Caenorhabditis elegans: one gene and its partner. The protein of the gene in region 1 interacts with the protein of each later gene in a pairwise test. Each region holds a gene or a part of one and is shown in the gene's direction. Other genes may lie near its edges.

Evidence for each region.
Region 2: the proteins of hyls-1 (region 1) and sas-4 interact in a two-hybrid assay, tested with the Caenorhabditis elegans proteins (one study listed by BioGRID).

Annotation. Positions count from the first base shown.
Region 1 is NC_003283.11:7,228,172-7,243,902, forward strand, and holds hyls-1 (Centriolar and ciliogenesis-associated protein hyls-1), read left to right. Parts: upstream 1-9,209; 5' UTR 9,210-9,386; coding exon 9,387-9,483; intron 9,484-9,538; coding exon 9,539-9,709; intron 9,710-9,759; coding exon 9,760-9,914; coding exon of another isoform or gene 9,915-9,980; exon of another isoform or gene 9,981-10,107; coding exon 10,108-10,340; intron 10,341-11,219; coding exon 11,220-11,388; 3' UTR 11,389-11,488; downstream 11,489-15,731. Other genes in the region: gei-6 (GEX Interacting protein), read right to left, coding at 1-32, 86-673, 721-1,758, 1,805-2,188, 2,235-2,349, 2,394-2,552, 2,600-2,674; krr-1 (KRR1 small subunit processome component), read left to right, coding at 3,019-3,174, 3,374-3,840, 3,891-4,202, 4,261-4,438; C05C8.5 (Exonuclease domain-containing protein), read right to left, coding at 4,566-4,845, 4,893-5,464, 5,513-5,813, 5,871-6,145, 6,190-6,320, 6,366-6,503, 6,555-6,642; hpo-9 (BTB/POZ domain-containing protein 9), read right to left, coding at 6,848-7,281, 7,329-7,441, 7,660-7,957, 8,006-8,791, 8,841-8,955; C05C8.1 (ATP synthase subunit s, mitochondrial), read left to right, coding at 11,600-11,691, 12,564-12,796, 12,848-13,125; C05C8.7 (mannose-6-phosphate isomerase), read right to left, coding at 15,255-15,426, 15,659-15,731. UniProt on the Caenorhabditis elegans protein: Plays an important role in ciliogenesis.
Region 2 is NC_003281.10:8,313,664-8,331,442, reverse strand, and holds sas-4 (Spindle assembly abnormal protein 4), read left to right. Parts: upstream 1-12,854; 5' UTR 12,855-12,861; coding exon 12,862-12,954; intron 12,955-13,002; coding exon 13,003-13,098; intron 13,099-13,178; coding exon 13,179-13,523; intron 13,524-13,639; coding exon 13,640-13,859; intron 13,860-13,901; coding exon 13,902-14,434; intron 14,435-14,610; coding exon 14,611-15,054; intron 15,055-15,324; coding exon 15,325-15,483; intron 15,484-15,529; coding exon 15,530-15,717; intron 15,718-15,765; coding exon 15,766-15,825; intron 15,826-16,578; coding exon 16,579-16,867; 3' UTR 16,868-17,094; downstream 17,095-17,779. Other genes in the region: mrps-18A (28S ribosomal protein S18a, mitochondrial), read left to right, coding at 1-10, 60-221, 269-314; iglr-2 (Immunoglobulin domain and leucine-rich repeat-containing protein 2), read left to right, coding at 533-713, 997-1,134, 1,183-1,400, 1,447-1,546, 1,595-1,793, 1,844-1,963, 2,010-2,144, 2,498-2,722 and 6 more; ZC262.13 (FIP (Fungus-Induced Protein) Related), read right to left, coding at 4,845-5,075, 5,125-5,154; F10E9.12 (DUF7107 domain-containing protein), read right to left, coding at 5,899-6,306, 6,610-6,624; F10E9.1 (uncharacterized protein), read right to left, coding at 7,063-7,193, 7,239-7,318, 7,786-7,910, 7,956-8,144, 8,188-8,256; F10E9.10 (uncharacterized protein), read left to right, coding at 11,163-11,243, 11,294-11,398, 11,443-11,550, 11,597-11,713, 11,758-11,814; F10E9.11 (rRNA-processing protein FYV7), read left to right, coding at 12,305-12,372, 12,430-12,697; F10E9.2 (uncharacterized protein), read right to left, coding at 17,157-17,372, 17,420-17,544, 17,589-17,779. UniProt on the Caenorhabditis elegans protein: Required for centrosome duplication. Plays a central role in determining centrosome size.

The DNA of each region.
Region 1 (15,731 bases):
CGCAGTAACACCGGACGGAGCAGGATTTGGCTCTGAAATAAATAAATAAATAATTTTCCAGTTAATAAATCTGAAAAAAACTTACTTTTCTGTACCTCTGCGGCTTCCTCTACGACGCGTTTTCTTGTACTCATTACTCGGTTCATCTCTTCCAAATAAGATTTCGAGTACGACGGAGTGCTTCCACCGCCACTAAAATTATCAGCTTGAACTTTAGAAAGAGCTTCAAATAGAGAATTAGAAGCAGCTGCTGAAGTGGATTTTGCCAGTTTTTCCCACGGATTCGGTTGAGAAGAAGGTGCAACCTTCGGCCTCTCTGATTCAGCATTCGGCGGTTTCAATGGAACTCCAAAAGCAGAAACCGATTTTGGAATGGAAGGCGCCGGAGCATTCAATTTTTCTTTCGGAATCCATGATTCAAAACCGGACGCGATTTGTGGCGGCGCCTTCTTTTCAACAATTTGTTGTATCAACGGCTTGGCGACAGCTTTCGGTGCAGGATTTAGTGTAGCTTGAGGAGATGAATGAGGTGGAGTGTCAACTATCTCCCCATCTTCCGGAGGAGAAACCCTTTCAGGATCATTCGGTGTACACGCCACGCTTCTCGGTGTTGTTATACTTTTAGGCGTTGCAGCGATTTCAGCGATTTTGTCCAGCAGCTCTTTATCCTTTTCTGAAAATTAAATATTTTGAAATTTAAATAATTAGAAAAATAATAACCTTTCAAAGTATGAGTCAATTTTATGACATCTTTCTTGTAGCGTTCCGCATATGCTTTCCAAGAATCACGTTCGTATTTTATCGAATCACAATCTTTACCCAATTTCTGTGCAGCAGACTCGAATAACGCGGCTCTCTCCACCGCATCATTCCTTTCCTGATTTGCCCGTGCACATTTTTCAGTCATTTCAGCCACTTCCATCGTCATTTTTTTGCGTATCTTCTCGACAGTTTTGCAGCGAGTACACGTCTCGTTATCCGCCAGAAAAAGTCGATCATTCAAGTTCTTCACAGCAGTTTCCGCCTGTTCGATGGCTTTATTTTGTTCTTTTTTGCATACATCTCTTGCTCGCAGATAGAATTCAGCTCGATCCTTCTCATATGTTAGTTCTTGTTGGAGGAACTCAACTTTTGCCAGCAGAGCGCTGTACTCCAATTTCTGATCTTCTGCGTTTTTTTGCATCTGTTGCTTATAAGCTTCATATGTCCTTGTCTGGCTTTTTATTACTGCTACAACCTCGGCTTCATGAGCTTTGAATTCTTCTTTTCTCTCAACCAAATCAGCACGAATATTTCGGAAACTGTCGGAAAATTCGAGTCGAGTAGACCTTCCGAAGTCTTTCAACGTTTTCACTGCCAACAGACTTTTCTCCTCGTTCTCTTCATATTTTAAAATTCGCTTCTCCTGCTCGCTAATCGTTCTAATCATAAGTAGAAACTTTTTCTTCAAAACCATTGGCATATCATTTAACCGAGCAGCAACCGGCTCTCCAAGGGCATCTCTGACAGTTGTATTGAAGCATTCCTTGAGATATGTTGATTTCAATAAGAGATCCGTATCGGTTTGGCAGCAAGTTTCCGCAGTTTTGGACACATGTGACGTTATAGGAGAACTTTTGAAAAATTCAGAAGTATGTGTTGGCTTTGTTGATACACTCGAAATCGTCGCAGCTCTTGGTGAGATTTTTATGGGTCGACCTCTCTTTTTGTCGATTGGTGTGACAGTTGGCGTATTTCTTAATTTAGTTTCTCTCGGACCTGAAAATAAAATATTTGGCAACAATATTCGAAAACTCGTACTTACGAGCATTTTCTTGGTCCTTTTTACTGATTTTCTCGGAACTCGTGGACTGAACTTGAGAGACTTTGGCTTTGCTCTTCTTCCGAGTTCCCCAATTGTTTTTCTTTGATTTTCCACCAAACGCATTTTTGGGTTTCTTTTTTGGGATGGTGGTTTTTTGTTCAGGTGTTTCCTCATCACCATCATCCTCATCGATGCCTTCATCATCTTCTTTAGCAATTTCTTCGTCCTTCTCATCCGAATTCCCATTAGTCGACGTGTCAGAATTGGAAACTCCCGAACCTTTTTCAGGTACTTGACATACACTATTTGAGCGTGAAGCGGATCTGGCTCTTTTCTGAGAACGAAGGAATTCAAGTCTTTCACTATTGGACAATATTCTTCCATCTGAAATTGTAATTTTAAATTTTCTATAAAAGTATCGTGTCTCTACCTTCATTCACAAACGAAAATACTCCTCTGACTTTCTTGGAGGACATTCCAAAAAAAGTTTTGCAATTACTGCAATAGCTTTTGAAGATATCCTCTGTTTTGCCGCCACTCGCTGGCTGAAATTTTTCCAATTTGTTTTAGCTTATCCTGTACAACCAACCTGGCGCTGCTTGAAAAACGATAGCGTAGCCAATACTGAACACGTATCGCATTTTACAGGATCAGTGGGCTTTAGTACTGACAACGAAGAAGTAGTCGAATCATTCGAGCTTTCATCAATTGGCGAATCATTATTCTCCGATGATGTTCCCTCGATTGGCTGAACAAGATTATAATGAAATTGAACGCAACAAAATAAAAAATTACGTCAATCTGATCAGTCGGATGCGCAGAAGGCAAGTATACGCTATGGTCCTCTGCTTCAGTTGTTGCGCCGTTCATTACCTGCCACTTATTTGTTTAAAAAAACAGGTAAAATAGACGCAAATTGAAACAAGATTTAACTTTCAGAATTATATAAAACACAAAAACAGTTAAAACATAAGAAAAGCCAGCAGAAGCAGTGTAAATTCCGCACAGAAAAATTAATCGACAAACCAGTGGGCGGAGCGTGAAGCAGGAGTCGCAACCCCCGCGCACTTTTTATGCAATGCTGCCGCACGAATTCCTCTCTCAGTTTTTGTTCCCTTTTTCTTCATTTTTAATCAATTTCTTCTGATTTTTTTTGTATATAACTTTATTTTATTTTGTATAAAACATTAAATATTAATTAAAAATAATTTAAGATGAGCAACGTTGACAAAAAAGCTAAACCTCGTGGAGAATACGAGCCCGAATGGGCTGGTGAACCGGAGGAAGAGAAGAAGACGCGGAAAGAGACTGCAAAAATGTTCGGACCACAGAAAGATGCAGAGTGGTGGGATATTAACACTTTCAGCAAGGTATGTTTTTGATATTGTATTCTAAATAAATATATTTCGATTTTTGAAGTTACCTGCTAAATTTACTTAAAACTAATTTTAAAATCTCCAAAACACTAAATATTTTCTGAAAAATTAAATGTTAAGCAATGAAAAAAGTTGGTTCCATGTAATTTTTCTCTTGTAGTATGAACCTGAAGAAAATGAATACATTTTTCAGGAAGACAATCCGAATGGTCTACTCCAAGAGTCATCATTTTCTTCATTATTCCCCAAATATCGCGAAAAGTATATTAAAGAAAGTTGGCCACTCATCGAAAAAGCTCTAGGAGAGCATTTCCTGAAAGCAGATTTGGATCTCCTCGAGGGAACAATGTGTGTCCGAACTACTCGTAAAACTTGGGATCCTTATATAATCATGAAGGCTCGCGAGGTCATCAAGCTTCTATCCCGTAGTGTGCCTTATGAACAAGCGATTCGTGTTCTCGAAGATGAAATCTATTGCGAGATTATCAAAATCTCTTCAATGGTTCGCAATAAAGAACGATTTGTGAAGCGTAGAGCTCGGCTAATTGGAAACGATGGTGCTACCTTGAAAGCTCTCGAATTGCTGACACAGTGCTATGTTTGTGTTCAAGGAGGAACTGTTTGTGCTGTTGGACCGCTTGCTGGACTGAAACAAATCAAGTGAGTTGAAAATATATTCTGACTCTCTTTGAAATCATAAAAAATTTCAGTCAAATCGTCACTGATTGTATGAAAAATATTCACCCAATCTACAATATTAAAACTATGATGATCAAAAGGGAATTATCTAAAAATGATGAATTGAAAGATGCAAACTGGGATGCTTATCTTCCAAACTACCGAAAGAAGGTTCAATCTGCAACTACAACAAAGGAAGCAAAGAAGAAGAAGGCTTACAAGATGAAGCCCAAGAAGGAGTTCACTCCGTTCCCACCGGCTCCAGTTATGAGCAAGATTGACAAGCAGATTGAAAGCGGAGAATATTTTATTCGCGAGAACGAAAGAAAGATGAACAAAAAGAGGTAAGTATTCTTAATTCAAAAATCGTAACGGAATTTAATAAATTTATGAAATTTTCAGAGCGAAATTGGAAGCATCGGCGGTGAAGACTGTGGAAAAACAGAAGCAAAAGTTGAAAGTGTATCAAGCAAAAGAGGAAGCTCCGCGAGAAAAACAGAACAAGAAGCGACCGAACGACGCGCCGATCGATTTGGAAAAGCTGAAAAAGAAGGCAAAGCTCAGTAAAGCCGCCAAGTAAATTTTATGATTTCACTGTTTCGTTTCTTTGTTATCAATGTTGTTGTTTTGTTGGAAATTGAAGTTTAAATTAAACCAAATTTTATTTGTTATTCATTTTATGAGAAACTTAATATTAAAAAAAAAGATTATTTGACTCTTACATAGAGCACGTTTTTAGTGGAATTAGACAAGATCATCATAATCAGTGAGTTTTTAGCCGTGGCGGCAACCAGTTTTTCAAGAATCCGATTCAGTGCCTCCGCGTTGTCAGGAACTTCTCCTTGCTCTGAATCAGTTTCTTCCAATGGTTCTATTTTTTCTTTGTCAATCTCCACGAGGATTACACTGTCATTGAGCATTTCAGAAGCTACACTGTTGACGAATCCATTATAGGAGGGAAAAGAGGAATGAAGTTTTGAGCGGACCCTGAAATAAATTAGGTACTTAAACTTTATTATTTTTAAATATCTTACTTTTTTGATATGGGAGGACAGTCGAGAATAGCAGTATCGAAAGCACACATCACAGATTTCATTTTATCCTTTTTCAAATAATTCCCGATTGGAGATGCTTTCTTTTCATGATCCACATCAAGTGTATCCTGCCAATGAAAATCTCCTTGGGCACTTATCCCGATCTTCACACAATGCACACATTTCGAAGGAGTCGATACAAATCTGCATCTGCAATTGGCAACTGTGCAAGCAACAACTGTTGGCTGAGAGCAATCAGTACACGGTTTTGATGTGATTTCAGCAGCCGTGACAATTTTCTTCTCAACTGCTCCATTGTTTTTTGCGTATTCAGAATATTTCCATCCGAAGCTCACGTTCCCGAACATCAATCCTTTTTCGAGTTTCAGCTGAGCGAGGCGCATCGCTGCCCACGCATCTTCATACGAGCAATGACCGAATTCTGATTGAATTTGTGCTCCGAGAAAGAGTTCCGTCAAATTTTTGAGACTATTTCGGAATTCTGTGTTGCTATTCGTATAGTTGAGAACATGACCAACGTCGAGACAAAATGGATGTGTCATTTTCATTGCCTGTAATTGGTTTCAATAAAATAGGAAATAAACTGAAAATTCGAATACCTGTAGATCGTGCTCTAATGAGTGTCCAACAAGAATTGCATCCGGCGGTAACAAGCTCTGAATAGCTTTTTGAACATCTCCAAGAGTCGTCGTTACTCCTTCCATCATATCCGGTGTAATTCCAGACCATCGCGTCACATAATCTGTGATTCGACCTTCTGGTTTCACAAGAGTATCTAGAATCGTATTCTCGAATTCATCCACTATCGATATTCGTGTAAGTTCTCGATTCGCAACGTCTGTTTCACACATCTCACAGTCAACAGAAAACATTGGAGATGAAGCTGATATTTTTTTATATCTGAAATTTTAAATAAAACTTAATCTGCACTGAAAACAAGTAATATCGCTAATTTACCCTTGTTTAGTGGGTACAACACCTTCTTCACCAGGAAATGGGTAGCGTCGTTGAGCCAATTGTTCAGTTGTGAGCACAAAATGCGATTTATCGTGTTTTCCGTCTCTATCATAAGTTTTTTGCATTATGACAGACTTTCTCCGAATCTGTTCCTGAATAGTAAGCCGGACTTGCATAATGCTGTTCCAGAACAATCCACGATCACTGACATCTGAATCCAACTCTATCCATTGCTTTTCAAAGAATTCACTAAGAAAGCTTAGATTCGTTGTCGTCTGTAATGATTTCAGCGATTTAGGTTTTCAATGCAATCCCTTACGAAAAAATCGTCATCCACATTGACACGAACCACTAGGTTCTGAAGGACATTTCTATGATGGGATAGACTGACCCATCTGGGCTTTTGGAGTGATGATCCAAATATGCTGAAGTGAATAAACTGAGCCAGAGCTGGAAAACTATGCGAAAATTGTGGATTTTAAAGTGGATTATTACTTTCGCAGTCTAATCGATGGCCATCACCTAGTCGGGACAGCCTTAACTCTAATTTTGGCTTGGATGGATCATCACTACTTGTACTAGGAGACTTGGTTGGTTTTTCAGAGCTTGTTAATCGACGTCTTTTTGTTGCACCTGAAATTAATTTCTTTTCCTGGAATTTATTTTTTTATTTATTCCCCTTACATTGAAATTCATGTTCTGCTTGTTCTGGTGATTTGAATAGGTTTTCTATCTCTGATTTGAGACTTTTCCTCAGTTCTCGCTTCGCCATCCCTCTCAAAAATCTGAAAAAAACGGTTAGAATTTCAAGAATAAAGAAAATAAAAAAATAAATTTATTTTCGGTGTGTGGCGTCCGTGTATGTGGTTTTTTTTCAAAAGAAATTATTAACATTTTTATTCAATAAATTTAATAACTTATTTTTCATCAGACATTTAAGTGAAATAATGCATTATATATATTTCTGTAACCCGGTTTTATTTTATGGCAATTGGAACGTTTGAGGGAGCCTCGAGATGTACAACGTGAAAGACTTCGTTTATGGAATTCCGGGTACCAACAAGTCGAATATACACAACTGGAAGAGGATCAAATATGAGTTCTTGCCATCCATGACATTCTTCATTGGTGCGGTCGACAATCGTAACCCATTCGTCTTGATTCTTCGATACGGCAACATAATACGAGTAGAATCGATCATCACAATTCCATAACAAAATTCGCATTGAAGATATAATGTAGGGCTGAGCAAGTTGAATCATGATGAGACCACTTCCAATTTGATGACACGTGTATCCAGTATCCCAGTCGTAGGATGAGGAATCCCCGTTGATAAGAGCATTCCGACATCGAGAAACTCCTTCAACAACCCGTGCGTGATTTTCTATCGTTGTGATGTTTCGATGAGGAACTGAGAAAATTGAAATTATATTACATTTCCACAGCAAAATGTGATACCTATGACTTTGTGCACAGGTTCGACAGGCATTGTTTCGGTAGAGAACATGGCTTCGATTCGACTTCCTTCCAGTTTACACGACATTGAATTGTTGACTCGGATCAAAATATGCCTGAAATGCAAATTATGGTGAATAATTTTCGAGTTTCACGGGTTTTCTGTAGAAAATTACTATAGGCGCTGTAGTTTTTTTTCGAAAGTTTTAAATGTTTCGGAAAATGAATAAAAAATAGATCAATTAAACTTCGCCCGTTAGTTCCAAAACCGCCGAAATGTTTTTGAATTTCTACTATTAATGCAATGGATTTTACAATAAAATCAATCACTTACCGCACAACAGAATCTGTGAAGAAGAGTCTTTGTGTTCCTCGACAATCATATTCCGAGTAATCAGCAACTAGATTCCAATGAGCATCAACTCGATTATCCATACTAACGTGAACTTGGTATGTAAATGCTTGAACTTCATTTTTCCAGTTAAAATCCATCATAATTGTATTGATAATGAATGGTTTTCCGAGATCAATTTGAAATACACTAATATTCTCGTCATTAGTGTAGCGACTGCTGAGCTCTCGTGACAATGGCTGTGCGTGTGGATAGTGTGGAATTATATTCGTGTCGAGGCCTATAAAATGGAATAGATTAAACAGAAAATAAATAAAATTCAACTCACTTTTGCATCCTCTGAATGGAATCTCGTGTGGTCTTTGTGTTTGAACTTCTATAGCATCCAGAAGAGTATCAGCTGACACCAACCCAGTTGGTCTTACACAATTAAGAAGTTCGGTTTGTGTTATAAGGGGAAGTCTGACCAATTCCAGCAAAACTTTTGATGCTTCTTTCATTGTTGGATTATTCTGATGCCATGAACGTACCGCATTGAAGATCTTCAATTCTAATGCAAAAAATGAATCTCTCGCAAGAAGCTCCTTCAGACTATCTCCTGATAATCGGTTGAAGCTGGGATCTTCGAGAAGCTGATCTGCATGTTTATCAGAATATTGCATGCAATAATCTATAAGATCAGTGAATTGAAAGAAGTATGCAGCATTGAAAATACTACACAAGTTCTCATTCTTCAAAATTTCCTTGAAATATTCGCTTATTGCTGTCATAAGCTGAATTAAATCATAACGATGTGCCAGACTGAGATATTCTAGCAAAATATCCAGTTCCACTCCGGCAAAATCGATTTTCGATGTGTACATGTACCGAAGAACAGCTCGGAAGGCTACTGAATTCGTTTCCTGAAGAGTCACAAGCTGTTGATGGCTTTCTTGAAAACCTGTATAGAGCATAGCTCGAAAAAAGCTACTTCTCACAGCCAAGATCAAACGATGGGCAGCAAATTCAGTTCCATCGTCGAGAACAAGAGTTACATCGGAGTGGTCTGTTGAAGTGAAAATCTCATCGAAACTTTGTGAAAGCTCATCAAGATGTTGTACAACAGATTTGTTAACTGAAATAATAGCTAATTTTGGTCAATTTTTCTGCTTTTAGAGACTTACCGCTATTCACCGCATTAAAATTATTGGAAATGGCGGCGGATTCTGTTCTCATAGTTTCGACAATTCCTCGTCCATCTTCTTGAATCGGCCGCCCAAAAGCATGGTTATCGCTCATGTACCTGAAAACCCGTCATTATCATTAATTATTGAATTTTAATAAAAAAGTTATTTTAAATTTAATTTTTCGGGATAAAATTAGAAAATTCGGAAAAGTTTTTAACAAGGAGAATGATGGGCGGAGTCATGTTTGGCAATCTGGGCGCACTGTTTTGCAATGGCACCGCGCGCGCTATTTTTTTAAGATTTGAACCTGGCGCGCTTTCTGGCGTTCAATAGAGCACGTTTGCTTTTTTGTTTTTTATTTGTTTTTTTTTTGCACGAACAATATTGTTTGTTGTTACAGAAAAACCCCACCATCTTGTGACTGATCAGATCATTGTGACAATCTCAAAAATATTTTCAAAACGTTACGGGTAGTTTAACGTGTACGTCATTTCCTCCTTGTTCATAAAACACGCTTCATCGAGCATTTGGCTTCAAGGAAAAATGGCAAATTTTACCACTGAAAACGAGCTCGAAGATATTCTTCATCAAATGGGTCACCATATACATGACAAAAACCAATTTGCAACTTTCAAGAATGGTTAGTTTTTTTTCCTAAAATATTTAAATCCAATATAAAAGATCGTATTCTTCAGAAATTGATAATCTACTCGACCGAGAGCTTTGTCTGTCAGATGCCGATGAAGACGTTATGAATGAATCTCTATTTGCTTCATTATCAGTTGATCCAGCCGCTCAATTCATACGACAAGAACGAAATTTTCCAACCGAAAATCTGAATATTCAGTCCCCAATTGTTTCTAGAAGTGAGTTAAGTTTTAAGATTTTCTTCAATTAATCTGTGATTTTTTTTCAGAAAGACAAGGAAAACGGTTTATCTACGAAAATGTAGAGTTACAAAGCGATTTCGACGATGAAAGCTCAAACGAGTATCCTGAGAGAAACCTTCTGGTCGATCGAGCGTGGCGAAGCATACATCGTGCAATGGAAACATGCAATGGTGCCACAGAGGTTTTGACTTTTTCGTTTTTTTTTTTGTTGAAAAATGCTGACTTCCATTCAAGATTTTTTCCATAGATTAAGCTGGAAAATGTTCAAAAAGTCTAAAAATAATAAAATTGAATCCTGTGAGCCAACCGAACGTCAAGATTCAGATGTTTGTGCATTTTATTTTATAAAAAATAAGTTTTAAATATTTTTTCAGACTCTTAAATCAATATCACTGGATGGCAGCGACATACAAGAACGATCAAGTGTGGATGATGAGGAAAATATCGCTGAATCAGTTTCCGTGGGGTTAAGCACTGAAACTGAACAATCAGAGCTTCAAAAATCTTCACGACCGGAAAAAGAAGTTTGGACTCGGAATGTGTTGTCACTTGAACCAGGAAGAGCACCAAAAAAATATGATCCGGTCACAAGATATCATTTCTACAAGTAATTCATTTTATTCAGTTTGAGAGTGTCGTGACTGTGTAGTAGCGATGGAAGAACGTTTTATTTATAATTTTGATTTAGAAAAAATTAAAATACTTTAAAAAGTATTGGCATTATTGAAAAAATCAAAGTATCAAAAATGCCAATTTTTGAAAAGAAAGAAAATATTGGAAAAAAAAAGTTTTCGAAATAATTAAAATATTTCCAACAATATAGACTGAATGAAATAGAATAAAAATCAAATATTTTGATAAAATCGTATTTCCAAAAAAAAAAAGATTAAAAAGTTTTTTTTTACATTTTCAAAAATATGCCAATTTTTAAAAAATCTAAAAAAAGTAAAAAAAAATTAAAATTTGGAAAAAAAACAAAAATATGTTTTAAAAAATGGATAAATTTGTGGAAAATTCAAATCTTTAAAAAATTATATACATTTTTGAAAAAATCAAAATATTTTCAAAAAATAATAATAATAATAATAATAATTTATTACGCTCGCTGGGAGACGTGAAGGAATACAGAATACAAAAGTTATCATTGTTCGCTTGAACTAGAATTGGTGCAGTCGGGCAATTGTTTCCATTCCATTAGAATGTTGTCCTTGTCCTTGCGTTGTCCTTGCGTAGACTCCCCCATAGTGGGCGAGCGATTCTCGAGTGAAAATAATCACGGAATAAAAAATATGAATTTTTGAAAAACAAAAAAATATTAAGAAAGTATATAAATTTCTAAAAAAAACAATATTTTTTGCAATATTTTTTTAAAACGGTAACGCGACCAATTTTCGAAGTGATTTTGCACTTAAAATTTTTTTTTTGCAAAATTATACTGAAAAAAGTCTTCAACATTTATTTTTATAACATTTTTGTTTTCTTGCAGATCTGAATGGGATCGTCATCCGGCTCCAGGTGAAATGCGTCGTTTATCACTTCGTTGGAAAGTTCGAGAATTCATGTTACGTCATGATGTTCCACGATTGAATGAAAATAATGAAGATTGGAAGGCTAATCACGATAAGGACTGGTCACCTCGCCCATATATAGATTAATTTCTTTAAAAAGTGTTATATATTTATGAAAATCGTTTTGAAATCTCAAAATTCTTTTGGCAATAATCTTCTGTGTAAAATGAATATGATCTCTGTTTTATAATGTGTTGATTTTTTTATTTGAAGTCGATTCCCTGATTTTTTATGGGACAATGTATTTTTTTCTTGAATTGATAATAATTTATTCAACAAAAAATTATATGAAATTCAGATGAGCATACGTAAAATACAAGAAAAGTTTACCCAAGCCCTGGGACAACACAATATTCCCGGACTCCGTTGGGTTCTGGAGGGATTCAACAAGTTGGTTTTTTTCTAATATTATTAAAATAAAAACGAAAAATGCCAAAAATGGATCACGTTGAAATTTTAGAATAGTCGCGAATTTACAGACTCAAAAATACGGTTTCAAAAAAAGCGCCTACAATTTTTGCCATTTTAGAAAATAATTATTTTTTCTCTCATTAACATTTTACAATACAATACAATAACAAATTTAATTTCAAAACGCTTTTTTTTGTTAATTTTTGAAACATTTTTTCGAAATTTCATTTTACGGAAGAACCAAAAAATCAAAAATGTTCGCTTTTCAGATTTTCACTGAGAATAAAAATATACAAAAACTGTAAAAATTGCCAACTAATTTTCGTGTCAAGACCAGGCACAACTGTTTCGGGTCAAAAACTAAAAATTTCAAAATTGTTTTTTTTGCGTTTTAAACCCTTTTTCCAAGTTCAGTATCCGGTTACAGCAGTACTTGACTAATTTCGCGAAAATTTGGCACTTCAGTTTAAAGGGACATGCTATTTTTCTGAGCGGGTCTAGCCGATACAGGTGCCATCAGGCATTTTTGGGTTTGATCTATAATATAAATTAAAGTTTTAGGCCGCCAGGATTTATAATAAAAGATGTAGCACCTAGAGTCACTTTTCTGCAAACAGAATATAATTGTTCAAAAATAAGTCCCCGAATATAGATAAATTGCTAATAAAATTGGAAAATGACCGTAATGTTCAGAATAGTGTGATTTGATTTTTTGGTTTAAAAACTGAACTAATCGCTTTCGGTTTATCGCATTCTTTTCTCGTTTTCTGCAAAAATTTGCAAAAGTACAAAACCGAAGAACCGTGGCTGAATGCACTTATTAAGACCAGATTAACACAGATCTCTTGCAGCTATGATGTTCAAAGAGTGAAGGAGGTGGGTGCAGATCGTGCTGCAGCTGAATGGATTGTGAGATGTGGTGGAAGTATCAAGTTCAATCAGATCGCTGAGACGTTTGAGGATTATAATTGTTTGGTGAAAAGAACTGCACAATTGGATCCGAGACTTTCACAGGATAATGTCACTCTGGAAACAATCAGAGCTGTCAATGCAAGTGTTACTGGATTTGGTTGTCGTCATTTTGGTAAATTATTTATAATTTGTTGCAAAGAAAACGAATAAATATTTATTTCAGAAGGCTTGACAGGAATCAAAAGTGTCTACTTCATCAAATGTAAGAATCTTCATGATTTTGGTCTTGAATACATGGGAAATCATGTAGGAGGTCACCTGAAAACTCTTCACATTGAAGAATGCCGTCGTATCACCGAATTCGGATTGGAGCATCTAACCAAATTCTCGGCTCTTGATAAGCTTGTACTTCGCAATTTAAAGAGTGTTCACGGGAAGGAGAAAGTTCAGGAGAAGCTTCGTGGAGCACTTCCGAAGACTGATATTCAATTTGAAGTCTAATTGAAAAACAGTGATTTTGTATGTATGTATAATAGTTTTTGGTAGACAGAATAAAAACTGATAGACCGGTTGAAATTGTTTTCCATCACACAAATGGCAATTAAAAAAGTGTACTAGTTGAAGTTTTACGGAAACACAAAATTCTGAGAATGCGTATTGGGCAACATATTTGACGCGCAAAATATCTCGTAGCGGAAACTAAATACAGTAAGTCTTTAAATGGCTACTGTAGCGCTGTGTGCCGATTCTGTGGTTTTCGCTACGAAATATTTACGGAAATCTTGTTGAACAGATTTTTTATATATTTTGGCGTATAGGGAACTTTAAAAGCTTTCTGAAAAAAAAAGCGAAATTGGAGACTGGAAAACTGCAGAAAAAAAATCAGTTTAGTCAGTCAAAAATGGGATAAAACACGGGGTTTTGAATGAAAAATAAATAAGCAAAAACCGTTCTTTTTCTATAAAAAGTAAATAAATACAAATTTAGTAGAAGAAACAAAGGAAAATAAAAAAACAACACACATTACGGAAAATAAAATTTTGAGAACGCGTATTGCGAAACTCATTCAACGCGCAAAGTATCTCGAAACTACAGTACTTAATTCTTTAAATGACTACTGTAGCTCTTGTGTCGATTTACGGGATTTCGATCTTCGAAATGAATTTAATTTCGAAAAGTGACAGTGATATTCCATTTTCCATTTGTTTCTTCGTATCATTTTCTCATTTTTTGCTTAATTTTAATATTCTATCAATAAATAAATTATTTTAACTCACTTCCGAAATCGAGCCCGTAAATCGATACAAGCGCTACAGTAGTAATTTATAGAGTTACTGTAGTGTTCGCTACAAGATATTTTGCGCGGCAAATATGTTGCCCAATGCGCATTCCCAGAAGTTTGTGTTCCCATAATACGTCAAATTATAATAGTTGTTGGTTGTATTTATCTTTTTACTCCCAAACAATTCTTAAACAGTTTTTTGATATTGTGACGATATGCATGCACACATACCCAAACGAATAAACATATATCTTGCAGAATTTTGAAATCGAAATCTATTGGAGAGATCCTTTACACAATATAGTCGACTGTTCCTCAACCAAATCAAATTACGTGTTGTCGATACAAAACGTCACTTTTTTGGTGACTTTCAGAATTGGAGCATTTGAGAGCAACTTCCTGCTAACACAGGTGTTTTGTCGTTAAAAAACTCATTGTCTCCAATTTTTAGATGAATTTTGCAAATCGCAAATTTCGCTGTGGCGACACCAACATTATAGAATTATTATCCTAACTGCGGCTCTCGTCTTGGTGGTCGCAATTTGCTAAACTTTTGCAATTTTGCTAGCATTTCTTTATATAGCTGGTGTTGTCTAATTTCTCATTTTTTCAGCTCCCAGTTTATGATTGACTACAGTTCTACACGTTATAAAATACATTTTCCTTAAAAAGAGTCCAACTATCTTATCTAAAAGAGTCCAACTATCTAAAAACATTAATTTTAAATTTTTGACAAATTTGAATAAGTCAAAAAAATGTAAAAATACATGTTTGCATTTTTTTCGACATCATATAAAAATTTAAATGTAGAACGAAGAGCAAAAAAAAATTTTTTTTGATTGTGAAATTTATTCTGGGCAATGTTCAAAATAAAAACAACTAGATAAATTTGCACAACTGATAGCATGAAGAAAATAATTGCAAAAAAAATCATAAAGAGAAAGAGAGACTGGGGTGAAACGAATGGGAAAATTGGGGAAAAAAGGTAAGGTAAAAGTGTCGAAAACTAGAAGATTCGGGTAGATCGAGGCGCAAAAAGCGGCAGCCACGAACTCTCATGGCATTGTAGATCGGAGCGATTGGTGGAGGAGCATAGGAATGAATGGTAAAAGCCAATTGGAATGAAGAAATTGAAGAAAAAACGCCTTTTAAACAAAGGAAGCATTTTAGAAATGAGAACAGAGTGACATACAGAAAAATAATGAAAAAAACTACAAAAAGATACTGTACTTTCCATTGAAAAAAGTGTTGGTATTACCCCGTAATTCGGCACACGGATGATATCTTTAGAATATTATCAGTGCTCAAACAGTGAAAAATATTTGAAATTAAATGCAAAACAAAGAGATTAAACAACAGCGGTGATCGCTTCTTCCATATCTGCATCTAATTTGAACATTTTCTCAGTAATCGTAGGCACCGCATTTTGAACTGGAGTGACGAGCCGTGTGTCATGATCTGGTCCCATTTCGTAACTAAACGTCCTGTATCCTTCTAATGGTTCCGAGCAGCTTGAGAATCTAAAAATAAAACATTTGAAAGTAGTTGTTGAACAGGAAGTTTCTAATTAGTTTCGTGTCGTTCCTTTCTTAATCTTTAGAATAAAACGAATTGGATACTGGCAAAAACTTTTAAGAATGAGAGAAAATACATTTCAAGACAAAAGAATATGGCTAATAATGAATACTTCTAGGAAGGAGACCACATTTAATATCAAATAATTTATAAAAGTTTAGATATAGTCGTACTTACCTGATATTATGCTTTGGTGGAATATAGAAGATATCTCCTCTTTTAACTTCATACTGTCCAATCAGCTGATTGT
Region 2 (17,779 bases), on another chromosome or scaffold:
GAATGGAAAGGTAATTAAAAGAAACTAACTGTTGCTTACATGCAAATAATTATTTGAAGATGTGTAATGCAAGCATTCTGGTCTGGACTTTTCGGTGATAAATATGGCACAGAAGCGGATAGAGCAGGTTATAAACGATTCAATCGATACTGGAAAGATGATATGTCAATGTATCAATTGGAGACGAAACAACGACATGGAACATGGTTTTATATTAAAAGGTTTTGCACTGAAAAATTTAATATTCAAATTATTTTTTGGTTTTCAGATATCCTACGAAGAATCAACAACTCTTCAAGAATCCACTCAATTGAAATTGTTAGATTTTATTTAGATATTATCCTTTTTTAGCTCAATATTATTCTGTTGTTTTGTTTGTTTCTAAAGAATTTTTCCGATCCTCGAACTTTCCATCGTTGTTTCGAAATGTTTTAAAACATTTTCAATATCTCTTATCTGTTGTTATTTCCGCTTTATTGCAATTCATTTTTCCAGGAACATCGCAGATGTCTTGATACAAAGAAAAGAAGAAATGCGAAAATTTGTATTTTTCGTCGTAGCTATTCTTATTCAAATTCACACGACAACATCACAAAGAAATAGAAGTTCATCGCCATCTGGATTTTTGGATCTTCAACTTGAAAAATGTCCTCAAGTTCTCGGATGTCGTTGTGTTCGGGATTCTACAAGAAATATTCAGTGCTTTTCTATTGGTAAGAAATTAATTTTTTAAACAAATGTTTGATGTTACTTTTCAAAAGGTACTTTATTAGAAAGGGTCAAGCTGAAACGCTCCAAAATTTTTTTTTAAAGTTTAGGATAGAACCTATTTTCAGCTAGAATTTTAAATTTTCCCCAGTTCATCAGTGTATAAAAGATTAAAATAAAACTTTTCTAAAAGTGGATAAGGAAAAACACAAAAAACGTGTTCGAGAAAATCGAAAAACTGACATCCTCGGCCCCCTATTCAAATAAAAACTATTTCATTATTTACAGACGAATCAAAACTTCTTGAAATTCAAAAAATCTACGGATCAAATATTCAACGTTTGGAACTTCACAATTGGCAACATGATCAGCTTAATTTCGATATTTTCGCACCATTTCCGCAACTAGAACATATAATTCTCCGAGGTAAATCGAGAATTGCTTCTTTAAAAGTATCAAAATTTTGATTTTCAGATGGTGATTTGGAATCTCTGAATGGAACTGTAATCCATCCAACTCTCAAAGTGCTTTCTATCGAAAATTCAGAGCTGACATCGAGCTCAGAAGTTTGTCGCCTTTTGAGCATTTTCCCGAAGATTCAAAGTCTATCCCTATCGAAGAATTATTTTGAGAAATTTGAATGCGACACGAGTAATACCAAATTAAAAATTCTAGATTTGAGTCAGAATAGAGTATGTCAATTATGCAATAAAAAACAATTCAAAGAAATAATTCTAGATTTCCCACCTGGAAGTGCCAAATACCCTCAGAGTTTTGAATGTTTCACGCAATAGACTGACTTCTTTTGAAAATATTTCGACGAAGCTGACAGATTTAGGTTTGTTCGAGAAAAAAGAATAATCGCAGTTAACAATTATTTTTACAGATATTTCCTTCAATAAACTATCCTTATGGCCATCTTTCGACGATTGGAAGTTCCCGAATCTTCGTAGTTTGTCGGCAATCAAATTGGATTTGCAAACGGGATTTCAATTAGATGCTCCACTTTTAAATTCTCTTAATATTGACGGCGCATCACTAAGATACTTGAATTTTCATCAAATCCTTACGCCGAAACTCAAAAAGTTTGTGATTTTTCATTATTTGGATATTATTAATTTTTCCAAAAATTCAGGTTCTCTGCTCGATATCTAACGGAGCTTCGAAATATTGCCGGTCGTTTACCTTCTACAGTAACGGATGTGGCTTTCACTGATACAATGCTGAGAACTCTTCCAGCTGATTTTATTCCAATGTAAGACATATTTTTCGAAATTTCATAATATATTCGGGATTTTTAGGTCATCTACCAACCATATGCAAAAGGTTTCATTCGATTTCTCTACGAATCAGCTTCTTTGTGATAAATGTTTATTGCAATGGTCTCTACCAGTTTATGCACAGACAAGTATTCGAAAAGATTGCAATTTGACACGGTAAATTATCATCTGGTCGCGAAAATTTTCGGTTTTGCCGGCGAAAATACAGGTCTCGAAAAGAAAAGAGTACTGTACTTTCAAACTTTTGTTCCTGCAGAATTTTCATCGATTTTTCATAATTCTTCGCGATAATATTTATTTAAATACATGAATTTTAACAAATAATGTGAAAAACTACTGAAAAATCTATAAAACATCTATAAAAAACAAAATTTTGGCTGTACAATAATCTTTAAAGGCGCACACATTTTAGCATTAACATAAAACATTGTCGTGCCGAGGCCGGTTATTCTGGCGCAAAATATGGTGTTTGGGTAATTTTTTTTAAATCAAAATGTTTCAATTTTCAGAGAAGAAATTGAATCGGCATCTTGTAAGATTGGTGTTGTTGCTAATGATACTGGAATTCAATATGGAAAATATGAGAAACCAACAGCAATTTCTTGTTTCTCCTACGGAGTTCCATCTCCAAAAATCAGTTGGTGGAGATTTAGACCAGCAGAGAAGCTTGGATCCTATGATCCAATCACAGATGAAATCAGTTATACAAATGTTTCGGAAACGATGAAAGAAAGGTATTTTATATCAAAAATAGACTTAAATAACAGATAATTACATTTTCAGCTATGAAATTCAATCTGGCGGGTCTCTTCTAATTCGATCACCCAACCGATCACATGTTGAACGATATGTTTGTGTCGTGGAAAATGAATATGGAAAAGATTATGGAATTTATCATTTTAGGTACTTCAAATAATTAGTAAAAGAAGGAGAAATTATATCTTCAACCAAACTTTTTAAAATTTCTCAAAATACATATGATTACGGCGGTCTAAAATTTCTCCCCTAAAATATCCAGAAATGAAATAAAAACTAATCGAGACGGAAATTTAACAATTTTGGAGACTTTCAACTTTTTCTAAAATTGTCATTATTAGTCTTAAAAAAATCGGTTTTCCACCTACCATAAATTTCAATAATCGAAGGTAATAACTAAAGTTTTTAGACTCGATTATCTCGATTGGTACAGCTATGATGTGTTCAATTCAGTATTTTGGGGAGGTCTCGCCACTTCATTAATCGTTTGTCTCATATCATTCTTGCTCAATATTACATGGATTCTCACCCGAAAAAGTGCTCTTTGGTGGATTCAAAGGTACCAGATTAATTAAATTAATAAATTAATTAAATCTATGATTTTTCTAGAGCCGAACGCCTGTCACGTGTCCGAAAAATGGTTGAAGCAATGGAAAAATATCGTGTTCGTCAAATGGAGTCACTTCATGAAAAATACACGAAACGCGTTCAAATTGTTCGTGATAATTATCATCAACAAGTTGAAGCACTTCGTGTATCGTATGCATCACAACAAGAGAAATTTCAAAATTATAAAGCAGCTCAAGTGGATGCTGTACATTCACATTTGGATGCAATGAGAGATGGATATAATAATCAATTGGGTAGAGTCAGAGAATATGGATCAAAACGTGCAGAACAATTATGGGAGAGCTATGAGCGACAGGTAAAATGGGGTTTTTTTTTCAAAAAGAAAATTTATGCAAATTTCTAAATGAAAAATGTGCAGAAAAGGTTTTTGAAATCTCTGAAAAATTGGCAAAAAATTTCAAAATTTAAAAATAATTTCCAATAAAAATCGAAAATGTCCTATGTGTAAAAATCTTAATCAAAAAGAAAAATTAAAGAACGAGAATCTAAAAATCGATTTAAAAAAAAAATTACAATCAAATTCGAATTTTGTTTATCATAATAAGATGAGTTTTAAATAGTTTGGTTATTCTCTTCAAAAGTTGAAAATAATATGACCAAACTTTGGAAAAAAAGAAAAAATACATTTTTATAAATTTTTTCCAGGTGAATCGCATGCGAACCTTCAGTCTACAACATCGTCTAAAAATGATGCGCCAGTACAAAGTGAAGCAACGTTATGTTAATAAATTACTCGAATCACTGCAAGCAACATCACCAGAAGTTCAATTGGAGAATGTTAGTTTCTGGAAAACTAGATTAATTGATTTTTTTGAAATTTCAGGAAGAAAAAGTACGTGCTGCTCTAGAGATTCCTGATGATTTGGCAACTATTGATGGTTCAATGGACACTCCTTCTCGCCTCTCGCGTAGTTCATCATTCCATAGTCTTCCTGAATATGTTATTGATGAACAAGGAAACGTACGACCGGGAATTATTCCAACAAATGCGCCTTCCATTAGGTTAATGTCTCACTGTCAGTGATGAAAAACATTTCTCATCTATACTTTCAGATTCACTACCAAACCAACAACATCTTCAATATCAAACGAGGCAAGTACCTCTTCTCCGAGCTCATCAGGAGCTCATCGATCGCCAGATTCTCCACCAGAAAAGAGATAATTCTTTAAATCATTTTGTTTGTTTGTCTATAACCATTCCAAAATCGGTGCCATCATCATCCGACCTATCATTTCTTTTTGCAATTAGTCCTAAAACACTTACTTACCATCTTCAGGAATAATGTTCTCAACTAGAGCTTTGTTTTTTTCTTTTCGAGAGTGTCTTTAATATATCTTTCCAATTCAATTGTTTCATGCCAGGAAATCCATGCAAACTTCTCCCCCAATTCCCACTTTTTGTTCCAAATTTCATGTGTTCATTTATTTATTTTCATTTAATTCAAGTTTTACTGTACGCATATTCAGAGATTAAATTTTTGATTGTATTCTTTTTTCTGGCGACGATTTCTGCATCAAACATACTCGATTGTGGCATGAATGAAATTCCGGACAAGTGAGGTCATCGACACATTTGAAGACATGCTCATTCTGATAGAAACAATGTCGATTCACACATTTATGATTGCTATCACAGTTCCGATCGGTCAAGCATTGTCCACGTGTGGATGCTGATGATATCAGCGGAACGAGGAGAAGAAGCTGAAAACTTCAAAATAATAAGAAATTTGTTATCATACCTCTCACTCACCAAAAATAGAATTTTGAGGAATTGAGTCATAGAATTGAAAAGTGCCAGATAATCAATATCACCTGACGAGAGCTCTTATCAGTTGATCGACACTTTAGAAAAAAAGAAAAAAATATATTACAACAATAGAGACATTTTTCCGAATGAGAGATTCTCTCGGTGAGAAATTTGATGAATTTAAAAATTGTGTTAGCTCAATTTTAAAATCTCCCCAAAAATTTAAGAATCAAATTTGCTACTTGATCTTGAAGCGAACGAAATAATCCAGCTACAGTACTCAAGAGTACGATATTTCGCAATTCGGCCTCTGAAGACTACTGTAGCCACACGTTTTTTCATGAACTTATGAGTTCTTATTGTTTTTATATCAGTTTTTCGATGAATCATCATATTTTTATGACAAAATATGAAAAAAATGTTATCTATAAAAATTCCAACGTACAAAAGTTTGGGATTACAGTAGTCTTTGAGGCGCACAAAATTTTGCACTTAAGAAAAATTGTCGTTTCGAGGCCGGTGCCGTATTTTCGGCATAAAAATCGCTAAATTTTTGCGTCTGGGTGATATAGAAAAGAAAAAGCAATTTCCGCGGGTACTGTAAGTGAAACTTTTTATTCGTTTCAGGACGTCAGGTCTCTACTTTAATTAACTGAAACTTTGAAATTTGAAGTACACCTTGGCGTCTTACGGTAACCTTATTAGTTGAAACATAATTGTTGAAAGATTTATTATGCACAAGAATTATGAAAAAAAAAGAAGAAACAAGAAAATAATTCACCATCGAAATGGGATACACATATTGATAATACACTGATTTCCAGAAGGACAATCCAATTGACTGTCACACCTTCGGAATAAATACGGGAATAGCTGGAAACGTTTCGCATTTAAACATTTTCCATCGTAACAAGCGGTTTCCGATGAGCAGTCCGTGTCAATAGAGCATCTTTGGATTAATGGAAGATATGGAATATTATCCGGAGTAGTTGGGATTTCATCGAATTCTTTGGATTTTTGTAGAACTGCTTCTAGTGGTAGCTTATCATCAATTTCTTCTTTTGGAGACTCTTCGGATGATGGAATGTGAATTTCCGATTCAGTTTCATTATGTGATTCTTCAGAGGAAGTTATGTTGACTTCAGTTTCAGCAAGAGAAAATGTGAAGAACACTACGAGAAGTAACTGCAATTATGTTTCGAAATTATTATTATCGAACATTTTAGAACTCGTATTTAAAGGCGCATGGATTTATTCAGATGGGTCTCACCAGGAGAAAATTTGAATGGTTTGTAACGATTTTGTAACGATTATCAGCTTTTTGAAAATTCGATACTGTAAACTTTTTCGCGAAAACCATCAAAACTACAAATAAGCTTCATGAACTTGTTTCAAAACTCTCAAGTAGACGTTTCAGAAAAGTGGAAACTTTAATTTAATTTTGGAAAATTGATAAGTTAGGCACCACAGTAAAATTTTTAAACTTACCCATAATGCATTCATGGCTTCTAGACCAACAAAGTATTGTCTTTTTGGTAGATTCGAGAAAAGTTGAAAATTGGAAAACCCGGGAAAAAACAGAAAAGAAATGATGCGTGTCAGAGGGCGGAGAACAGGAATGAATAGACAGGCAACTGAAGAGAGAAAAAAACGATAAATTTTGTTATCGCTTGGAGAATATTTTTAAGAGAGCGTGCTGTTCTTTCAGGAGTCAGTTTCAAAAAAATGTGGGAAAACATGTGATAAAATGGTTTAAAAGATTCTCGATGCTTCTAACCGGGTGATTCAACAGTTCTATTGGAAGAAATAAAGAAGAATTAAATGGAGGATGAACATTTATTCAGTATACTTTTTTACGTAGACATTTTTTAGAAGTACAATAAAAAAGGGTTTGATTGTGATGAATTTTTTGATTATTTGTCAATTATTTCAAGATGACTCTTAAATGTGCAATGGTCCGACAGCTTCCTCATTTTCTGTTCTTTTTTGTTGTTCTTCTCTCAGGGTGTCAGCGAAGATTTTCATCTTCTTCTCCTCAACAGCTTTGCGACAAAAAAGTCTTTGAATCGCCACTGAAAATATGAAAATTGTGACAAATGACAAATATTAGAACATACAGAAAACTAGCATGAAGTTGTAGTAGTAGACAAACCAGATAATCGAAATGTCATTATATTTGTTGTCCTTGAATCCCATTCTGCATATTCAAAATTTAACATTTGTTAAAACAATTGAAAAATTGTTTCAAACCTCATTGTTACTATGTCAGTAGGTATGACTTTGCCAGTAGGACATTCATTATGAATCCGCAAAAGATATGCAGATGTAAGTGTCTATGTAATACCTATCCTATACTTGCCTGCATACGTATCAGCCTCATGTCTGCTACGTACCTCTCCTGCCTACCAATGCCAACCAAAGGCCTATCTACGATTCCTGCTCCCTTTTATTTCAAGTATCCGAAGGCAGGCGTAGGCCTGGATGATATGCAGACATTTTAATATTTATGTTAGGCTATTGTGGAAATTCTCAAAAATTTTTTTAATCTCCAGAAATTCTCAAAACTACCCGTTTTTTCCACAAAACTCAAACTATCGATTCTGATGAAAATTGTTAATTAGGAGATCATAGCTGTTTTTGCAAAAAACATTGGAAAAACCTTACATTCCCAAATTATGGAACTCCTCAATGAACTCCATTGTATTGTTTGCATGTGACGTCTGAATGTTAGCAACTGCGTAGATCGGAGTGAAGAAGAGACGTGGTGCGGCACAGATAATGCACAAAGTCTAAAAGCGGGTCTCTTGAACAAGAAGAAAAGTTACAAAACTCACCACAAACTTCTTCCATCCCTTTCCGTCTGCCTCACAGAAAAATGCGATTGATAGAAGGAATGCAATAGAAACGGTAATTCCAGAAAAGATATATCCTGCTGCGCGAATAAACCAAGCACTGAAGAAGATGTACCATATGGTAGAGACACTGATCCATGCGTAGCAGATTTGATGGAATCGGAGGGAGAACTAAAACCTTTGGATATAGAAATCTTTGTGGATATTCACTTACATTTAATTGTTTCTGAAGTGGCTTCCTCACGGCTGTTTTGTCCAGCAACTCCAATATTTCGAATGTCATAGTTTCGACCTGAGGAATAGGAAATCAGAAAGGTGATGAGCATTTTGAACGGTGGTGCAGTACTGATAGATAATACAATTATTGTTCATCGAAACTATTTTTGATTTACAAACTACAACCACCGACAGCATTTTTCAGCTGGCACAATTTGACACAAACTACAGGAAGTATATTTCTAGATAATTCTTAAAACTACAAAAAATCATAACAAAAACCTCAAAAATGAGAAAATACAATGAGCGGCATCTCGAGACGAGGAGAATGCATTTCTGACTGAAAACGCGTTATCCCTATGGCAACAGTAGTAGGGGTGATCACAAGCTGAGCAAAAAGTGTAGCAAGCAGCCATACGAAGAATGAAAATAATGAACGCAAATCACGAGTTGCGCAAGTTATTTGAGTATATTGAAGACAAAAACAGAATGGCAACATTTGTAATTACAACATACTTCTTTCAAATAAAAAAAAATGCTTGAGAACATGCGATAGGTAAATATGAAGGCACGAAGGTAGGGGGTGTGCACAAAGTAGGAGTGAGGTAGCCAGGACGGGAAGATCTCGAAGCATTTATGAAGTAGGCATAACCAGGTAGACCGTTGGTAAACTTGATCAAGTTGCGTGACAGGGATGAAGCGTAGGCGAGTGGGCACGTAGGTGAGCATTGAATAGACCATAACCTTTTCTCATTTAATTTCTGTGTTTCCTTGGGAAAAATCTAGCCCCCAACTTGAAGTATATGCATTTCATGTTCAAGAGCAAACGGTACTTGAAATAATTTTTGAGATTACACTTCAGGATTACATCTAGAATTTTCGAAACATTTTTGAATTTTTCTCAATTTGTTTAAATCCTATTTTTGTTGCATTCCGGTGGGTACTCCGTTGTTTACTTTTCAATAAATTGCTTACTTAAAACATTTTGTGGAACATGAAACAAAAAATTGCAAAAAGAATGAAAAAACTGTTCTCGTGTAGTTTGACTGTAAGCACTCGAGGTAGGCGTACGTATCGTTGTCAGTTTTCAGTCTTGCCTACAACTAATTTTTCCACTGGAACCGTCTAGAATACGATTCAGTATTCAAGTAAAAGTGATAACTAATCTAAAACTGAAAATCCAGATATTCTATCGTGGCGTGTCGGGGCGCGGCCCAACCACAAGTGCCCTACCTTGGGTGCAAATGTCGTCAATTTACAAAATGCCTGTTATACACTTTTGTGTTTTTCCTTTAATTTTGCATATTTTGCATTCCCTTTTCCGAGCTATTTTCTGGACGTGAATCGCACCTATCCCTATGAAATTACTGGTCTATACCTCTTTTTCTGTTCTTCAATCTTTAAAAGCCGTGTATGACGATGTGCTGCTTCAAAAAGTAATGAACACTGATGTCAATCGAATGTGCACTCGGAATTTCTGTCTCGCCTCGGTTTTCCAATTACTAAGATTGCAGGAGCATTTACTGCTGCTCTTTACTTGCCCTTTTCTTCATCCAAAACTACAACTACATATCACAAGACATGTCAACAATCACCAGCCAAAAAGGGATAAGATTATTAACTGAGAGACGAGGGGATAATTCCCTCATACTAACTCTCACTCTTCACTCTCTCTGCTCTTCTCCTCATTTGTCTTCTTTTTTTGATATTGGTTGTGGTTTTTTGTCACCGAATAATAAGAATGCTATGAATACATCTCACAATTCATTTTTCTTTTTCTTGCTTCTCTTCCTTTTTTCGTTCTTTTTGCCGTTTGCCATGTGAGAGTAATAGGCTGTGAATGGGCCAGAAGGACACTGCACAAAGTAGTCAGTCATCACAGGCTTTTGTTTATGATGAAAGAGAGACATTGAGAAGAGGAAAAAGAGAAGATGGAAGAAAAAGGCACAAGAAGTATTCAACTACATGCACCAGAGACCCTTCTCTTCTTTCAACTATATGCTTTCAATATCCATCTCATTTTTATGATCATCATAACTTTTGTGCTCCACGTTCGGTTTTAACTTTGCCCAGTTTTAAATTACGTTCCTCTTGCCTTCCAGTTTTAGAAATTCAGAAGCTCTATAGATGTAGGACTCTCATAAGCCACAAATATCGTACCTCTTCAGAAAACCTTAAAAATTTCCGAAATATTGTTATTTGAAGAACACATGTTTCAAGACATGAAATTTGAAAAACGCCAGAAATTCCGTTTTACCAGAAATTGAATTTATCAATTAGCTTTGAATTTATCGATTTGTTACTTTCAAAAAGCCAAGATTTTGTACACCTAGATTCGAAATTTTGCGATTTTCGACGAGGAAATACGGTACTTTGCGTTTAAAAAAACGTAAAATTCTTTGGATAATAGTAATTCAAACCTAAAACCTAAATAAATTTTAGATGTTTCAAAACTTTCAGTCAACTTTTTGGTAAATTGCCAAATTCTAAGAAAATGTGGGCTTTCCCAGCAATTTTGAGCATAAATGTAAATCTAATTTCTAGAAAGTTGTTAGTTTTTTTAATCCGAAAAAAAACTCGTAGAAATAATTTGTTCATTTTTAATAGAGAATCCTCCAAAATTATGATAAGGACTGATATTTTTTGACAGTGAACAATAAAATTTCAATTAAAAAAATTATATATCTATGATAATTTGGCATTTTGGCGAGAATAGTTTCTATCAATTTGTTTAACTAGCAAAATACGACCAGTTTGAAAATTTCATTAAGACAATCCAGATACTCTTGAAATAGATATTCTGGGAATAGTTTCATTTGAAAATAAACGGTATCCTTTAAACGATCAAGGCCGTTACTTATAACTTATAAAATTATATTTTACAAATAGTTATCTGCAAGTATCTACCCATTGACATCCTTATTTAACTCATTTCTTCTTTTTTCTTCTTACAATAATAATAATGTGTTCAGGATGGTCACAGTGATACCAAAAATAATAAGTTCTCCATATCCTCGGACACGCCTACCACTGTACCTCTACACTGTTTCCATCGTAAGAATTACCAATCAATAGAAAATTCAAGTTTACACCTATAATTCTAGATTATTTCCTGCTCTTTATTATACTGGAATCTTCTTTACTGCAAAAATTATGACTGTGTCGTTGAGAAGGAATTTCGATGGGGAAGTACTCGGCACTTACTACAGGTATCATACAATTTGGTACCATAAAGAAATGACATAACTTTCAGTACTTTCCGGTGATAGCAGCTCCGATTATAATGGTAATATCGTTTTCTTGGTTAATAATTGCAATATATTATTCAAGTAGTTCATGTGTTCTTACATTCAATTTTATGGTAAGTTTTATAGGAAGGAGGAATAAAATAAATATTGAAATTAAAGGAAATGCCATCTGCAGTACTTTGTTCTCTACTTGGTGGTATTAGTTCTGTAATAGAAATTCATTTTTCCATTGAAGTAAATCAAGTTCAATGGACTGATCAGTGGTTACTGTCATCTGTGGGTTTACCAATCAACGATTGTTTAAAAATCGATATTTTCAGGGATCTTCAATACTTTTATGCCTTTTACATGCTACAATTGCGTTCACACTTCAATAATCCTTCCAACATATTTGAATTTCCAATCTTCTTCAAATCGATGTGAAAAAACTTGTATCATTGTTTTTATCAAATATGAAACATTTTATAGGAATCAAAAATATTATGTGAACTGTGATATTTACTCTTGCTCAATTCATTTCATGTAAATATTATTTTGATACTCATTACTGGCATAAATTATATTTTCGAAATTCATGTCACGAGCGCGGATGATGAGGGACAATTCGAATTAATTCTCTTTTTCTCAACAAAAACAATTAAATTTTGAACCTCCCTCCGTTTTCTTTGAAAATGGCCTAGAATTGTGATGGCCGTGGACTAGCATTTTCCCTAGCACGACGGCGGGAATTGTCTGCGTCATCTTCGTCTTGCACGCTCTCTCGTTACCCCCCGCTGTGGTTATTATACCGTTTACCACCTTAATCCCTTCAAAACGCTTTTATAATTTCACATAATCTCTTCTTAGAAATCTCAATCGTTTATTCAGATGGGAAATCGATCAAAGACAGACAATGCAACTGCCGTGGCATCGCAACCACCCAAAAAAGTTAAATCGTAAGTTTTCTTTCCTATTTTCAAAACTAATATATCTGAAATCATCAACATTTTTAGGAAAAAGCAAAAGAAAATGAGCTTTTCACAAGCACAAGACGTATATCTTCGTCTGAAGCAAGAAAAAGAAGAGGAGAAACAACGAGAGCGAGCCGAACGAGAAAAGCGAAATGAGACGATTGCAGCGACAAATAAATCAAGAAAGAAGATGAATCAGGCATTGGCAAAAAGAAATAAAAAAGGACAACCAAATCTGAATGCTCAAATGGATGTACTTCTCGAGAGGATACAGAAAAGAGTGGATAAGGAGAAAAAGGAGAAGAAATGAACTAATTGTTTTGTCTTTTATATTTTCAGATTTTTTTTGTTGAAATGAAATTGTTGTGTTTTTAAAAATCGATAGTTTTATCGTTTCTTCGTTTCTTACCGATAGTATACTTTATTTTCTGAAATATAATTCAATTATTTATTAAAAACCTTTTCAGCCTTCAGATGGCTTCCGATGAAAATATCGGTGCCGACGGTGAACAGAAGCCTTCTCGGCCGTTTTTGAGAAAAGGACAAGGAACAGCAAGATTTAGAATGGTAGTTTGTGCAAATACAAGGCTTATCGAAATAATATATGAAGTTCAGCCTAGAAACAACAAAACATCTGCTGGTGCACCTCCAACGTCGGAACTTTCATCTGCTTCAAGTCCTTCTATTAATGTTCCTAGGTTTAGTCTGTCGGTAAGTAAAATATCTTAAATACAAACGTTATAAAACTGTGGTGACTAGTTAAATATAAATATTAAGTAGAATTATTCCAGAATGCTCTCCCGAACTCTGCCCGAACCGTGGACAGTGGAATATCAAATGAAGACGAGACCCGTCCACCAACCACCGCATCTCTTCCAATGGATCAACCATCATTGTCATCTTCGCCGGAAAATCGTCTAAATCCCGCACCTTCCGTTGCTGAAGAGCATGGCCACAGTGGACAGCACGCTGAAGAAGAAGAAGACAATGACACGGATGAAGTATCTGCAATGCCTTCTTTTGTGCCTGATGAACCTTCGACTCTTGTTAATTCAGATCATGAATTGTCTGATGATGCTTTAAAGTATAAAAATGCAGCTGCCGAATTCAAAGCTTTTGAGAGAAGAATGGATTCGGTAAGAACAGCCAAATCAGAATGATAATTGAAATTTTACATAGAATAGATTTACGTATCAAAAATCAAAACCTACGAATACTCTCTAATTCAAAATTTAATTAATTAAAATTAAAGATGAGATCAGCTTCAACAATCACAACATCACTGGCAACGCCATCATCTTGTGCACCATCAAACTCCTCTGAGCCTCCTACTCGGTCTACACCAATTATGAACGATTTAGGCGTTGGCCCAAATAATCACAATTGGCCGTCTTCAATGCAAGAATTATCAGGAATTTCTCTGGAAACACCACAGGCTCGACCGCTTGGCAGCAATAGAATTAATCAGCTTGGTAGGTTAATAACAAAAAAAACATGATTGATTAGATTTTTAGTTCGAAGTGAGGCTCAAACGGGAATAAGCCTTTTACAACACCATGAAAGACCTACTGTGACCGCCCCATTGAGACGAAATGATATGATGAACTCATCACGACAGAATCCACAGAATGGAAATGTTCAAGATGAAAATCGACCCGAGCACGTTTATGATCAACCAATACATGTTCCTGGATCATCACTGGACCGACAGAAACTTGAAATTGAAATTCGACGTCATCGTAACTTGAACATACAACTGAGAGACACTATTGCTCACTTGGATTATGCAGAAGAATCCGTGCACACCACAAAACGACAGCTCGAAGAAAAAATTTCCGAAGTCAATAATTTTAAGAAAGAACTGATAGAAGAATTTAAGAAATGCAAAAAAGGAGTTGAGGAAGAATTTGAGAAGAAGTTTGAGAAAATTAAGGAAGATTATGATGAACTTTACGAGAAATTGAAGAGGGATCAACGAGATCTTGAACGAGATCAGAAGATATTGAAGAAAGGAACGGGAGAAAGGAATAAAGAATTCACAGAAACGGTAATTAAGAATTTAAGCAAGAAATAGTTATTCGAGAAAAACCACGAAATTTCGATTGAAAATTTTTCTCAAAGCAAAATCTAAAATTTTCATTGAAATAAATTGAGAATTTAAAAAGTTGAAATTCTATTATAAAACCTTTAATTTAAAATCCAGCAAAACTTGTCAAATTTCAGATAGCCACTCTCCGCGACAAATTAAGAGCATCAGAAACCAAGAATGCACAATATCGACAGGATATACGTGTTCGAGACGAAAAGCTCAAGAAAAAAGACGAGGAAATCGAGAAGCTTCAGAAAGACGGAAACCGGCTAAAGAGCACTCTACAGACTTTAGAAAAGCGCGTAAAACAATTACGTACTGAAAAAGAACGCGACGATAAAGAAAAGGAGATGTTCGCGAAGGTTGCAATGAATCGAAAAACTTCGAATCCAGTGCCACCAGTTTTGAATCAAAGTGTTCCAATTTCGATAACATCAAATGGTCCATCTAGACATCCATCATCATCTTCGTTGACAACATTTAGAAAACCATCTACATCAAATCGAGAAAGAGGTGTTAGTTGGGCAGATGAACCAAATGAACAATCATTGGAAGCTGTACCACAGGAGTTTTTGATGGTAATATTTAGATCAAAGCAGGGTTTTTTTAAAATTGTTTTTAGAATATTGCTCTGAAAAAATCAATTCAAAAAAAATTTCAAATTATTTTTTCTTCCCGACTAAAAAATTAATATTTTTGAAAAATAGTTTTTTAAGTCTAAAAATTTACAGCTTACTATTAGCATTTGCCGAAAGTTCCGATTTTTCAAAATTCCCAGAATTAAAAATCAATAGTTTTCGAGTTACCGAAAATTGTCAAAAAAAAATTTTAAATCATGCTTTTTGAAGATGCCAGTCAAAGAAATGCCGGGAAAATTTGGAAAATGCACGATCTACAGAGATTCTCTTGGAGAAACATCTAAAGTGACGGATACAATAGCTAACGGTCTTCTTTTCGAATATTCCAATGGAGATCTTCGATGGGTTAATCGGCAGAACGCTGTTAATGTAAGTTTTAATTGGAATTTTGTCAATTAAAGTGACCAATTTACAGATCTACATATCCGCAGTTGATAAAACAGTCAGAATTGATCTCCCCACATACAATATTTCAATTATTCATACATTTCAAAGGCAAGTTGAAGTACTTCGTCCTGGAAATAACATAACATTGATAAGTATTAAACGACGAGAAGTTCGAACTGATTTGATTTATCAAAACGGAATGTATAAAACTGAAATGTAAGATTATTTTCTTTTTTAAAGTTCATCGGAAATTTCGTATTTCAGCTTCAATAGGGACGGAAGATATGTTACGAAGGATTTTAGCAATCAAGAAGTTTCGAGAAAGTGAGTCTCTATTCATTTTCCAATTAATTATTCAGAAAAACCATTAAAATCTCAAAACTATTACCCAGATGTTTAATTTAATTTAATTTAATTTATTACGATAGAAGATATCGTTAGGTAGAAAAAAAAACACACACACATTAATAGATACAAACCATCACAAGTGGTTACATAAATAAATTACATAAATAAAACGAAACAAAAATAAAAAAAGAGATGTGACATTTTGCGGCAAAAAATGTCTCGGCACGATAAAATTTAGTTAAATGGGAAAAGGCGTGCGCCTTTAAATATTACTGTAGTTTAAAAATCGCGTTACTGTCGAATTGTTGTTTGCCCCTTTTTTTTTTGATAAAAACATGTTTATTAGTTTAGAAAAAAGATAAATAAACCAAACTACAACAGTCTTTATAGGCGCACGTATTTTCACATTTAAAAATCTGTCCTTTAACGAAAAAATTGTAAAATTTGGCGCCTTCAAAGAGTACTGTAATTTCAAACTCAATTTGAAACAGAATTTTCATCGATTTTCCTTAGTTAGTTTTTCGATGAATTTTAATTTATTCATTAAAAAAACTCAAATAAGTATAACGATATTTTAGCAAATAATATATTTTCAAACAAAACATGTTTCTATAATTTTTGTCTAACCCAAAATTTAGGAATATGACCTCAATTCTTCAAAAAGTTAGTAAAACAGGTTTAAAACCCCGTTATAAATATTTTTGCCTCTGAAACCTATCAAATTTTCAGATACAATCCCGGTACACACACATATCGCGACAATCAATGTCGCTACGTTCTCGTCACTGATTACAACGATTTTGAGCTCGTTGAGCCAGAATTCCGTCTTCGTTGGTATCAGGGAGATCCGACTGGTCTCAACAATCAGTATATTCTCAAGATCATTGGACGACCTGAATGCAGCGAGAAAACATTGAGACTTGAAGTGAATCTTTCCACGTGTGAAGGTACATTGGAAACTGCAGAGATGATAGGCGATAAACGTCGGAAAACAACTTTGTTCCAGTGGAAAAAATGAGAAATTCCAACCCCTTTATTTTAACTTGTGGTTTGTATATCTATTCCATTGACATTATTTTTCACTCCTGAGTGCTCTAAAATTATAATTAATTCTACCTCCTGTAAAATCATATCAAATAATTCAATCATTTTTTACTATCTCAATTTTCACTTGCCCCCTCCCCCATTTCTTTCATATTGATCTTCATGGTTATTTTATTGACTGTTATAAACAATTTTAACTTTAAATGTTCTGCACAAAATTCGGGATTCAGATTGCAAAGATTTATTGGAACACTGGAGACATTTCAAGATGATCTCGGATCTTCTGCACGACTCGACGGACTCAAACTTTGAACATTTTCGTGTGAGATTTTCTTTTCTTTTTCCGCACTTTTCTTCTCTTTCTTCTCCTCACCACTTCCATCTTTCTTCTGATCATCTACATCCAGGAGCAGCATCTTGTGACGTGTAATCTTTAGATCACTGAGACGAGTTTTCGAATCGCCGACTTCAAGAGGAGCCTACAATCATCCTTATCTTTTTATATTCAGAATATCAAAAAACTAACCGGGTCACCTCGACCAGAAAACTCGCCTTCGCCTTCTTCACTCGATGATTTCTGAGTTCTCAGAGTAATCATATGGGTCTTACCGCTGACACCAAGAAGCGTGTAGAGTCGAGCCATCAGATCGTCTGAACGATATAATTGTTTAAAAATCTTAGATTCTTAAGCTTACGATAAGTGGCATCCGTTGGAAGGCTGACAACGACTGGCTTTGAAAGGTACAAAAAGTACCAAAGACGTTGATCCGGAACCTTCTTATGTCGACGAGTCCTTCCACTTTTTGATTTGTTCACAGATCCTTTCCGAGTAGCACGAGTACTTCCTCGAATCTTTCCACGTTCAGCTCCATTATTCGACAATTCT